3 linked regions of the Pelodiscus sinensis genome follow. The protein of the gene in region 3 purifies or fractionates together with the protein of the main gene of each other region. This does not show direct contact. Links are inferred from orthologs where the notes say so. Each region holds a gene or a part of one and is shown on either strand. Other genes may lie near its edges.

Region 1 (3,746 bases), on a different chromosome or scaffold from region 3:
TGGGAGGCAGTTTGAGTCCAGGAAGAAGTTCAGAGATGCAACAGAGGGCTGGGGTGCTGAATGGGGTGTGAGGTGCATGCTGTGACCCTAGGCAGGAGGCCCTTGCCATAGGTGGCTCCCAGCTGGCAGCACAGTAGAGCTCTTAGGTGGGCAGCGGGCAGGCTACTTGCATGCCATTGTGGCCTCACACCACCCAAAGAGTGGTGTGGCAAATGCTAGCAGCAGCAGGCCACTTCCCGGGGCAACATGGTCAGGGCTATGGCAGGCAGGCAACCTGAGTGTTGTGCCCTGGGATTTTTAGAATCCCAGAGGATCATAGTGGGCTGGAGGGAAATGTTTGGTGGGCCATATTTTGCCCACCCCGACAAAGTCACCTTTGAAAATCCTGGCCATGGTGATCAGTTTTGCACACATGTAAAATAATACGTAATAGAAATACAAGGAATAAGGGAAATGATTAGAAGAATGTGAAGTTAGAAATATGAATAGTAAATGTGTTCATTCTAAATGTGGTAACAATACCTAGAAACTTAATGACTCAGCACTCAAAGCATGAATGGTCATGTTTGGCTTTTAAGTCCAAACTGTAGCTGGTCCTAGAAAAACATATGACCATGCGACCAGGTTCTGGGATCCATCTTGAACCTGGTAATTTTTCATGTGGTGGGACGCACTGAAGAAAGAATTGTCACCCTGGGGAAAAGTCTATTTAAGCAATCAGACTTTGTCTTCAACCCGCTTTTGAAATTGTCTGGCCCACCCTAAAAGGATACTTAAGGAACTCTGAAAAGCTGTAGGCCCAAACTAGAGTAAAAATCAACTCCGACAAAGCTTTAACCTGAGAACAGCTGTTAAGGTAAGAATTTGCATTACCTTAAACAGCTTTTTTGTTCATTGTAATTTAGTAACTTACTTTTATCAGACTGTTCTCATTTGTAACCAGTTAAATCCTACTTTTTGTACTTAATAAAAAACACTTTTATTTATTATCAATCCCAGTGCAAATAACTGCTATGGAGGGCAACCACTGTGCATCTCCTTCTTTCATTGATATAGTGGGTGACCTTTATGAGCCTTCACTATGTAAAACTTCTACAGAGTACAACAGATTCATGTGGGGTTTTGGTCCCCTTTAATGATTGTTCTCCTGGATACTGAGTCCTCAGAGCCAAGTCCTACCAGAGCTGAACTGCTTCACTGTCTGTGCTGCTCCGAAAGGGGGCGGTAACCCCAACTCTGTACCTTGTCTAGAGGAGACTAGAGAATCTGGCCCAGCATTATTGGGTAGTGGGGAACCCCAGAGAGCAGGAAGGCAGGCATCATGGTCAGCACATCAGGAGACAACACTAACCATCATACAAGGATTCTAGCAATTTTTTGTGAAACATTTAGTATTAGCCACTCTTGAAAACTGGACACTGAGTCACAGTCTGCTACTCTGAGCCATTAAAGCAAATTCTTTGTTCCTAAAATTATTATGAATTTATTAATTTTTCCTATAGCCTCATATTATACAATATTCAGTCTTTCTATTAAGGTTTTTCAAATTCACTTTTCCTTTTTTTTAAACAACAATCTAAAGAACTTGCAAAGGCAATTGCCTATCTAACTTAAACACCATATGGCCATTGGTCATCAATTTTCAGTCTAAACTTTATAATCAAAGTAAGTTGATCATAGTGCAGATTTATTTTTCCTCCAACTTTTGAAGGAAATTCAATAGAACAAAAAAAAAGCACACCATTTCAAAGATGTGAGATGCTGTTTAATTTTCTGAAAGGAAAAGAGTTGGCTCCCCACCTTACAGTCAAAAGAATTTCTCTCTACGGGACATTCGTTTTCCTCAAAAACTCTGGAGATATCAAAACACTTTAAGAAAAAACAAAGCACTTCATATTGAATACTGCTGCTTTGAATGTAGAAGACAAACACCGAACCAGGGATCATCACACAAGATCCTAAAACACTACACAAAAGGAAACCTCAGATACCAACCCGCTCCCTGGACACACACTCATGTCCACCAAACACTTCCTCAGGATCCAAGCCTGGAAGCAGGCAGACACAGCGCTGAACCCAGAACTGCATCTCTCACCCCCACGGGCGCTCCCAACGACTGCGGTCAGGAGTCACAGCAATTCGACCTCGGCACAGAGGGAGAGAGCAGGACCCGCGGCCTCACCAGGGCCGGCCGGTTACCGCAGGAGCGACCTTCCCGAACCCCCCTCGGCCTGAGAGACTAAGCAGCCGGGCCGGCCTCCCTGCCCCTGGAAACGGGGCCCGCGCCGCGGCTCACCCGGGGGGGCGATGGGTCAAGGGGCAGCCCCGGCGCGGGCAGGAGGATCAGAAGCCGCAGGTGGCTGCGAGCCCTTCCCCGCCGGGCCCTGGGGCGTGGCCGAGATGGGCCAGGTGCCCCCTTTCCACGCCGCTCTCTGGGACCCCCGCGCCGGGAACCGGCCCAGCTCCCACCCGGCGCCGCCGCCCGGGCTCGGCCTGCCGCCCCTCCCCCCGCGGCGGGGCGCCGGCTGCGGCTCTCACCACGAACACCGCCTCGGGGATGCCCAGGTGGCCCCGCTTTCCGCCCGCGGGCGCCTCGCCACAACAAATCTCGCCGCTGGTGGCCGCCGCCATCTTGGGGAAACTGACGGCGTGCGCGCGTACGTCCGAGCAGCCGCCCTCCGGCCGCCGAGCGCAGTGTACGTCACTGCGTCAGCGTCACACCCACCGCTCCGTCACGGCCATTGGCTGCCGCGCTTTGACGGACAGGGGAGGATACTGATCTAGTGCTGCCCCCTTGCTCTGCCTCTGCTGTGCTGCCCCCAGGGGAAAAATGGTACAGGGCTGAGTCACGCCCAGGGCAGTATTTCTGCTTAACACATTGAAGCTCTTTGTTACAATATCTTGCTTGCCACTGATGAGACCTTGGCGGTGACAAACTGAGGAGAGGTTGTGCTCATGACAGCTCATGATGATATATGTATATAGAAAAAACCAACAAATGGTCTGGTAGCAGTTACAGACTAACAAAACCTGTAGATGGTATCATGAGCTCTCTTGGGCACAGCCCACTCCTTCAGATGACCGGAGTTATGAGTTTGGGATGAGTACACTGGAAATAAATGCGGGGTGGGGGAGAGAAAAAGGGAGGGGGCTGGAAGACAGAGCATCAGTAAGTATCTGGAGAATGGGTACTTAAAAGCAGATAAAAGTCCCCGGACACTACGTTGACGTCTACACTGGCATGGTCTTGTGCAAGAACTCTTCCAGAAGAGAGTGTCTACACTGGCATATGCATTTGCACAAGAGATGTGCTTTTGCACTAGAGCTTCCATGCCACTGTAGACGTTCTCTTGCGCAAGAAAGTTCTGATGGCCATTTTAACCATAGGGCTTTCTTGTGCAAGAAATTCATGTTGCCGGTCTGCACTGGCCTCTTACACAAGAAGAGTTGCGCAAGAGGGCTTATTCCTGAGCGGGAGCATCAGAGTTCTCGTGCAAGAAGCACTGATTTCATACATTAGAACGTCAGTGTACTTGCGCAAGAATTCACGGCCAGTATAGACAGGATCAGTGTAGAGCAAGATTGCTCTAGTATAGACACAGCCTACCAATTTAACAACCATTGAAGGAGCTAACAGCTCTCTGTGTAGTATCCTTTCTAACAAGGGAATCTATCTATTGACTTGGATTTTTATTTGCTTTGGTTTAAGTACCCATTCTCCAGATACTTACTGATGCTCTGTCTCC
Region 2 (3,746 bases), on a different chromosome or scaffold from region 3:
TAACTTTGGTTAAAAAAGAATTAGGTAATTACATGTAGGACAGTAGGGATGCAAGCGACTAGTCAACTATCCGATAAGCATGATCATCAGTGACTAAATTAGTCGCTTCCCCTCCTCCCCCCGCTGTCTCATCAGAGAGGCAGCAAGGTGGGGGGAGCAGGAGCTGACTTAAAAGCCAGTTCCCTGCCAGCACTATCTCCATGGGGCACAGGGGAAGCAAGCACAAGCCAGCTGATTCCCAATCCTGCTTTTTAAATGTATTAAGAGCCAGCAGGTGAGGGGACCAGGCATGAGCTGGGACAACTGATTCCTGGCTCGTGCTTGGTCCCCCACCACCTCTGAGCTTCAGCCTTTTAAATGAAGAGCTAACCCCGCTACAGCTCTGTCGTTTTCCCCTTAACTAAATCAATGGAAATTCCATCAACTACTTGATTAAACACCATTTAACATCCCTATAGGACAGGTTGATCAATGGCTATTAGCCAAGTTGATTAGGGACATAACCCCATGCTCTAGATGTCCCAAAATGTCTGACTTTGAGAACTTGGGACTTTGACTGGGGATAGACCACACAATTGCCCTGGTCTGTTTATTCCCTCTGAAACATTGGGCATTGGCCACAGTCAGAGCTATGTAAACCTGGCCACAGTCAGAGCTATGTAAATATAACCAGGGTCATTTCAAATGAATTCATCAATTGAAGATTAGGATTTCAACAGAGTTGCATGAGCATAATTGTAGAGTAACGAAGTGGGGAGTCTGTCCCAGAAAGTTTAGCAAAAGGTCTAATCCTGGATTAATACTGCACACACTTTGCCCATACACAATGATTAAGGGATTCTAAGCATTGTATGCAAAAGCAGAAGAAATATACTCAAGATAAATATTGGTCATTTGTGCCTCTTGCAGGATTACTTCCTACACCTAAAAGAAGACCCAAAGTTCTTCTAGTTATAGTATCCTCCAGCCCATACTATGGATGTGAACCCCAATTCTGAGCTACATAAAAGATGAGCTCAGTGCCCTAATACCATGTGAGTGGGTAGCAAAGGTACCTTTTTAACTTCTATTTCTTCTTTCAGCTCTGTAATCCTGCTGGTATTTCTTGCAAATTTGTTAATTTTCTGTTGATCTTCAAAAGTAACATTGACATCTTCAGCAGCCTGGACAGAAATAGGGGTTACAGTGGGGGAATTTTTTTTTTTAAACTATTAGGTAAAAAGTGGGAAACTTTGTATTTCTCATAGTTTCTTACCTACGGATAGATAGAAGATTGCCAGTACAGTTATGCTAATCGATGCTGCTACTCTACATACAACTTCTATTGGCAAAAAAGTGATTTCACATAGCTCTGGGGAATCACCAAGGTTGGGGAGGGGGGCTAGTATAGGGCAGCAGTAGCGTCAATCCCCGCTGCCTGCCCTGGGGCAGGAGTCACAGCACACTCCACCGCGGGCTGCTTCCCCCGACTCCTACAGCCATCCCCAAAAGCAGCGTCCTCGGGGACAGGGCGCAGGGGGGTCGGGGCTCAGGGAACAGGACAGACTGGGCCTGCTGGGACTCGGGAGTCAGCCTGCGCGATGGCCCGCGGGCCGGGAATGTGACACCCCTGCACCCGCACTGCGGCGCCAGCATTAACTGAAAGCCCGTTCACAGGGACTGGGGGGGGGGGGGGGGAGATGCGCACTGCTGCCTCTCCTGGGGGGGGGGGGGGGGGGGTAGGCTCGAGACAAGCAGCGCCAAAGGGCACCAGCGAAGCACCTCTGGGAGCGCCCAGAGCTGGGGGGTCAGTGCCCCCCATGCCTTGGGGGGCATTGACTCCACCCCGCGCTAGAAACCCAGCGCTCCCCGCGGCGGGGAAGGCGCAGCCTGGACAGAGCAAGTCTCCCCCCCCCCCCCCCCAAAAAAAATATTAGCGCCCCGCTCCATGTACCCGTGCGTGGAGGAGGAGAAACCAAAGCCTAGGGGGGGGGGGGGGAATGCAGAGCGGGTCCTAGGAACGGGCACAAGCCGGGAGGACCCAGGGCGCGGCCACCCCACTCACCGCTTTCTTCATGGTGGCAGCCATGTTGGACGGAATTACTCTCCCATCTGCAGAGGAGGGGTGCCAATGTCCGGCCCCCCGCTCCGGCCCAGCTCGGTTCCGGGTCATCCGCGGCGGCGCTTCCCTCTCCGAGTAGCGCGCTCGCCCCATTCCCGACGGGATGAGAAGACCTTGGGTCAGATAACATAGGAAACAGGACAAACACACCCCTACGCTCGCAGTTGGTACTCCCTGCTTAAAGGCACTGCCCGTGGGATATTTTTCCTCCGACCGATTAGGGGGCTCTGCAAGCCGAGCGTGATAGTTGCCGCTAGGTGGCGCCACGAGCTAGCACATGGAAAGAGGGAGCCCAAGGCCGCGCGGGAGAGCTGTACAGTAGTAACCCGCTCCTCCCCTGGGACTGAAGGGGGAGCTGGCAACAGTGTACCTGAGGGAACCCCACAGCGCCTACCCCACTTGGGGGAGCAGTCACCAGTGCACTCCCTTGGCTTGGGGGAACCAGTGCCCCCCCCCCATATCCCAGTGAACACGCCATTAATATGGATCAGTCATGGAGATAAATATTAATGAGCAAACGCAGCCGGCACCAATGGCCTCTTCTTATTGCCATTGCTCAGCACCACAGGGATATGAGGGGCACATGCTCCTCTGAGCTCAGGAAGGCTGTGTCTAGACTGGCAAGTTTTTCTGCAAAAGCAGCTGCTTTTGCGGAAAAACTTGTCAGCTGTTTACACTGGCCACTTGAATTTCCGCAAGAACACTGACGATCTCATGTAAGAAATCAGTGCTTCTTGCGGAAATACTATGCTGCTCCCGTTCAGGCAAAAGTCAGTGTAGACAGCTCAGATTTGTTTTGCGCAAAAAAGCCCCGATCGCGAAAATGGCGATTGGGGCTTTTTTTGCACAAAAGCGCGTGTAGATTGACATGGATACTTTTCCGCAAAAAGTGCTTTTGTGGAAAAGCGTCCGTGCCAATCTAGATGCTCTTTTCCGCAAATGATTTTAACAGAAAACTTTTCCGTTAAAAGCATTTGCGGAAAATCATGCCAGTCTAGACGTAGGTGAAGTGTTATCCCCACTGCAGATGGGGCATTGAGGCACAGAGGGATGAAGCAACTTGGCTAAAGTCACATGGGAACTTTGCTCAAGCCAGGAATTGGTCCCAGCTTTCTTTAGTCCTTAACCACATGACCAGACTTGTCCTGGGGACATCTGTTATGCTAGGGAAATGACTGGAGGTGGAGAGAAAAAAAATTTCCACTCCAAATTCCTTTCCAGAGGGACCTTGTGATTAAATAATACATACTTTGTTTAAGACAGGGGGATGGTTTTTCCTAAATAGAAATAAGGGCAATTGGCATTTGCATTGCATAATTGCCTCCACATGCTTGTTTATTCATTTAGCTTATATCACAGCTATGAAAAAATCAGGTCATCATAACGTTTTATAACCACAGCTGCGGGGGAGTGAACTCCTGACAACCAGTTTGCTGTTAGTGCAAAGTTGGGCCCCAAATTCAAGCACCTGGAGCCATGGTAAAACAAGGTGTATGGCTGATGATACATTTAACAAGTTAACAACTAGCCAAGGTTTCCATAATTCAGTTGATGGAAAGTAGCTTTGGTGGGCTACCCACTTTCACAGATATTTGCAAGAGATCCTGTGGATATATCTGTGAGGTCTCCCTCAAGTGTCTGTAAC
Region 3 (3,205 bases):
GTGAACTCTTTTATACAGTCATGCCCAAACTTGTTGCTGGGCAAGATACAGCAGCTACCGTGCTGGACTGAGAGCCGAGCATATTACAGTTACTTTTTCGTTTCCCGCCTAAACATGCTTATCCTGCCACCACTCGGTATTCCCCTTTGACTGCCTGCTTCCACACGTGCAACCGCGCTGTTCGTAAGCGTGGGTACGTTCGTAACTCGGGGACTGCCTTTACAACCGCTCCATGGGGGCTTTGTCGGTTGTAACTCGGGGAGCGGCTGTATTCAGTGCTCCGGGTCACTTTGGATTCTGACCCGCCCTCCGAAGCCCTTGCCACGCTCCCGGCGTGGGCTGAGACGCGTCCACACTGCGCCAGTCGCTAACAGGCTGGTGACGACGCTGAGCAGCCCCGGTCGCAGCACAGAGCCAGGGCCCCTTGTGCGCCCCCCGCGGGGCCGGGAACGGCTCCTCACGCGCCCCCGGCCCCACGTCCCTGGGCCCTGAGGGGCAGGGCCGGGGGGAGGTTTCACTGACGCGAGACGTCACCAGGGACCTCCCCATGGGGGCGCCTACCCCCCCCCCCCCGTGTGGGGAGCTATGGCGCCATGCTGCCCCTCCTCCGCCCTGACACCCCTCCCCCAATTTCAATTCCTGGGGAGGCCACTGGACGTCACCACGCTCGGGGTCACTGCCCCCCCCCAGGCCCGCCATCTTTGAGCGGGGCGGAAGTGGCTTCAGAAGCCGGTGGCGCCATCTTGGCACCGGGCGGAAGTAGGGGCATCGCCCCACCATATTGGAAAACGGCGGAAGTGGCCCCAAAGTCCCGCCTCTGTCGCGGCCCTTACGGCACGGGGCGGAAGTGCGGGCGGGACTACAAATCCCATGGGGCCCCGCGGCCCGGCGGCACTTCCGGGGCGGGGCGGGGCGGGGCGCGCGATGGCGGAGCTGGTGCAGAAGCGGCTGCAGGGCGAGCTGGAGAAATATCAGCAGCTGCAGAAAGGTGCCGGCCCCGCCCCCCCCGGACCCCCCCCCGCGCCCGCCCCCCCGCCGCGTAACCCCCCCCTCGGGCCCGCCCCCCCCGGGCCCCCCCCTCGCGCCCGCCCCCCCGCCGCGTAACCCCCCCGAGACCCCCCCCCCGCCGCGTAACCCCCCCCTCGGGCCCGCGCCCGCCCCCCCGCGCCTGCCCCCCCGCCGCGTAACCCCCCCCCTCGGGCCCCCCCCCGGACCGCCCCCGCCGCGTAACCCCCCCCGCGCCCCCCCCCCCGAGACCCCCCCTCGGGCCCCCCCGCCGCGTAACCCCCCCTCGGGCCCGCCCCCCCGGGACCCCCCCCGCGCCCGCCCCCCGGGACCCCCCCCCGCGCCCGCCCCCCCGTCGCGTAACCCCCCCCCTCGGGCCCGCCCCCCCCCCGGGACCCCTCCGCCGCGTAACCCCCCCCTCGGGCCCGCCCCTCCCCCTCCCGCGCCATCCCCCGCGACCTGCCCGCGGCTCCCCAGGGTCCGTCCCTGCCTCGGCCCCGCCCCCTGCCCCGGTGAGGGGGGGGGAGGAGCGGGGGGGCTCACTCCCAGCAGCTCACTCCCCCCCCCCCCCCCCCAGATCTCAGCAAGTGCCTGTCGGCCCGGCAGAAACTGGAGGCGCAACTGACAGAAAACAACATCGTCAAGGAGGTGAGACCCCCCCCGGCACCCCCCCGCCCCCCCTTCTCCCCCTGCCCCCCCGGCACCCCCCTGCCCCCCCTACCCCCCCGGTACCCCCAACCCCCCTTCTCCCCCTGCCCCCCCGGTACCCCCCTTCGCCCCCTGCCCCCCCCGCTAACCCGATACCCCCGCCTCCCCATTCCCCTGCTAACCCTTCACCCCGATACTCCCCTTCCTCTCCCTGCTCCCCCTCCCCTCCCTTGCCCCCACCTTCCCCTCCTGCCCCCAGTAACAACTGCTCGCCCCCAGTTTTTCACAGACTCCCAGCTCACTCTCCCCTTCCCCCTGTGGCAAGCCACCTCACCAAGGGTGTCTCCCGTCCCTCCATCTGCTCCCTGCCCCCCCCCCCCCCAGGAGCTGGGGCTGCTGGATGCCACCAACACGGTCTACAAGCTGATTGGCCCCGTCTTGGTGAAGCAGGACATGGAGGAGGCGAAAGCCACTGTCAGCAAGAGGCTGGACTACATTTCTGGGGAGATGTGAGTGGGGGTGTCCCGGGAGGGGTCCCAGCCCCCCCCCCGGGGGGAGGGGGAGTGGCACAGGCACAGAGGCCTTCCCTGCTAGGGGCCATTGGCCAAGCTCCACCCCAGGATGGCTCCTGCCCTGGGGCAAGCTCTGGGCCACACTGGCAGGCTGGGGGGGGGGGGGGCACTTTGGGCCCGGCTCACTCCCCCCTTCCCTCCCTCCCCCGCAGCAAGCGCTACGAGCTGCAGCTCCAGGAGAGCGAGAAGAAGGCGGAGGAGCAGCGGGAGGTGCTGGCCCGGCTGCAGCAGGAGTATCAGCGCGCCCAGGGCAAGGCGGTGCCCAAGGCCTGAGATGGCACTGGGGGGGGGGGGGGGGGGTATTTAAGGTTTTTCACTGTTGAGAATAAAAGAGGTGATGCACAAACTGATCCCACGTGGCCCCCACCTGGGTGTGCTCTGCCCTGCTATGGGTGTGGCCCCTCTGGGCCTGGGGGTTCCCTGGCAGGGCTGACCCCCTGGGCCCCCGAAGCACGGCTCACCACCAGCTGCTTAGTGTCTTTATTGCATTAGTGTTTCAGCAAAGGGCTAGGGCCCTGAGACACTCCCCCCGCCCGGGGTCTGGTGCTGGGACCCCTTGGGGACAAGTCCCTGAGACGCTGCCCTCTCCACAGGGGCACCCACAGCCCCCTGGGCCCAGCGGCGGTTAACCCCTTGGCCTCCCCCCGCGTCCTGCTGGGGGCTCACTGCCTGTGCAGCCAGCCCCCAGCTCTCCCTGCTGGGCGGCCGTAGGCAGAGGGGCTGTCAGGCACTCAGGTCATGGCCCGAGGCTGCGGCCAGTGGGCAGGGCCCTGCAGACCATCCCACAGCCCTTTCCTGGAGCGGGGCCGCCCTCAGAAGAGGGCCCGGGCCAGCTTGCGACCCGTCGCCTTGATCTTCGGGAAGGTGGCGCTGAGTTCGGGCCGGCGGGGGGCAGCGCTGGGCGGCGGGGGAGGCTCCCCGGGCCCCTTGGGGCGCAGCACAAAGTCCAGACTGGAGCTGTTCATGGCGTAGAAGACGTT

What was found.
Region 1: the proteins of PFDN6 (region 3) and VBP1 purify together in Homo sapiens (affinity purification with mass spectrometry; 6 studies listed by BioGRID and IntAct, counting the BioPlex papers as one, with this or other methods). This does not show direct contact. The link is inferred for Pelodiscus sinensis from reciprocal best matches to the Homo sapiens genes PFDN6 and VBP1.
Region 2: the proteins of PFDN6 (region 3) and PFDN4 purify together in Homo sapiens (affinity purification with mass spectrometry; 6 studies listed by BioGRID and IntAct, counting the BioPlex papers as one, with this or other methods). This does not show direct contact. The link is inferred for Pelodiscus sinensis from reciprocal best matches to the Homo sapiens genes PFDN6 and PFDN4.

The regions. Positions count from the first base shown.
Region 1 is NC_134723.1:29,342,029-29,345,774, forward strand, and holds the start of VBP1 (prefoldin subunit 3), read right to left. Parts: upstream 2,696-3,746; 5' UTR 2,632-2,695; coding exon 2,539-2,631; intron 1-2,538. UniProt on the Homo sapiens protein: Binds specifically to cytosolic chaperonin (c-CPN) and transfers target proteins to it. Binds to nascent polypeptide chain and promotes folding in an environment in which there are many competing pathways for nonnative proteins.
Region 2 is NC_134728.1:16,428,332-16,432,077, forward strand, and holds the start of PFDN4 (prefoldin subunit 4), read right to left. Parts: upstream 2,289-3,746; 5' UTR 2,195-2,288; coding exon 2,045-2,194; intron 1,164-2,044; coding exon 1,056-1,163; intron 1-1,055. UniProt on the Homo sapiens protein: Binds specifically to cytosolic chaperonin (c-CPN) and transfers target proteins to it. Binds to nascent polypeptide chain and promotes folding in an environment in which there are many competing pathways for nonnative proteins.
Region 3 is NW_027465970.1:69,581-72,785, reverse strand, and holds PFDN6 (prefoldin subunit 6), read left to right. Parts: upstream 1-849; 5' UTR 850-870; coding exon 871-988; intron 989-1,582; coding exon 1,583-1,653; intron 1,654-2,037; coding exon 2,038-2,162; intron 2,163-2,377; coding exon 2,378-2,498; 3' UTR 2,499-2,575; downstream 2,576-3,205. Other genes in the region: RGL2 (ral guanine nucleotide dissociation stimulator-like 2), read right to left, coding at 3,038-3,205. UniProt on the Homo sapiens protein: Binds specifically to cytosolic chaperonin (c-CPN) and transfers target proteins to it. Binds to nascent polypeptide chain and promotes folding in an environment in which there are many competing pathways for nonnative proteins.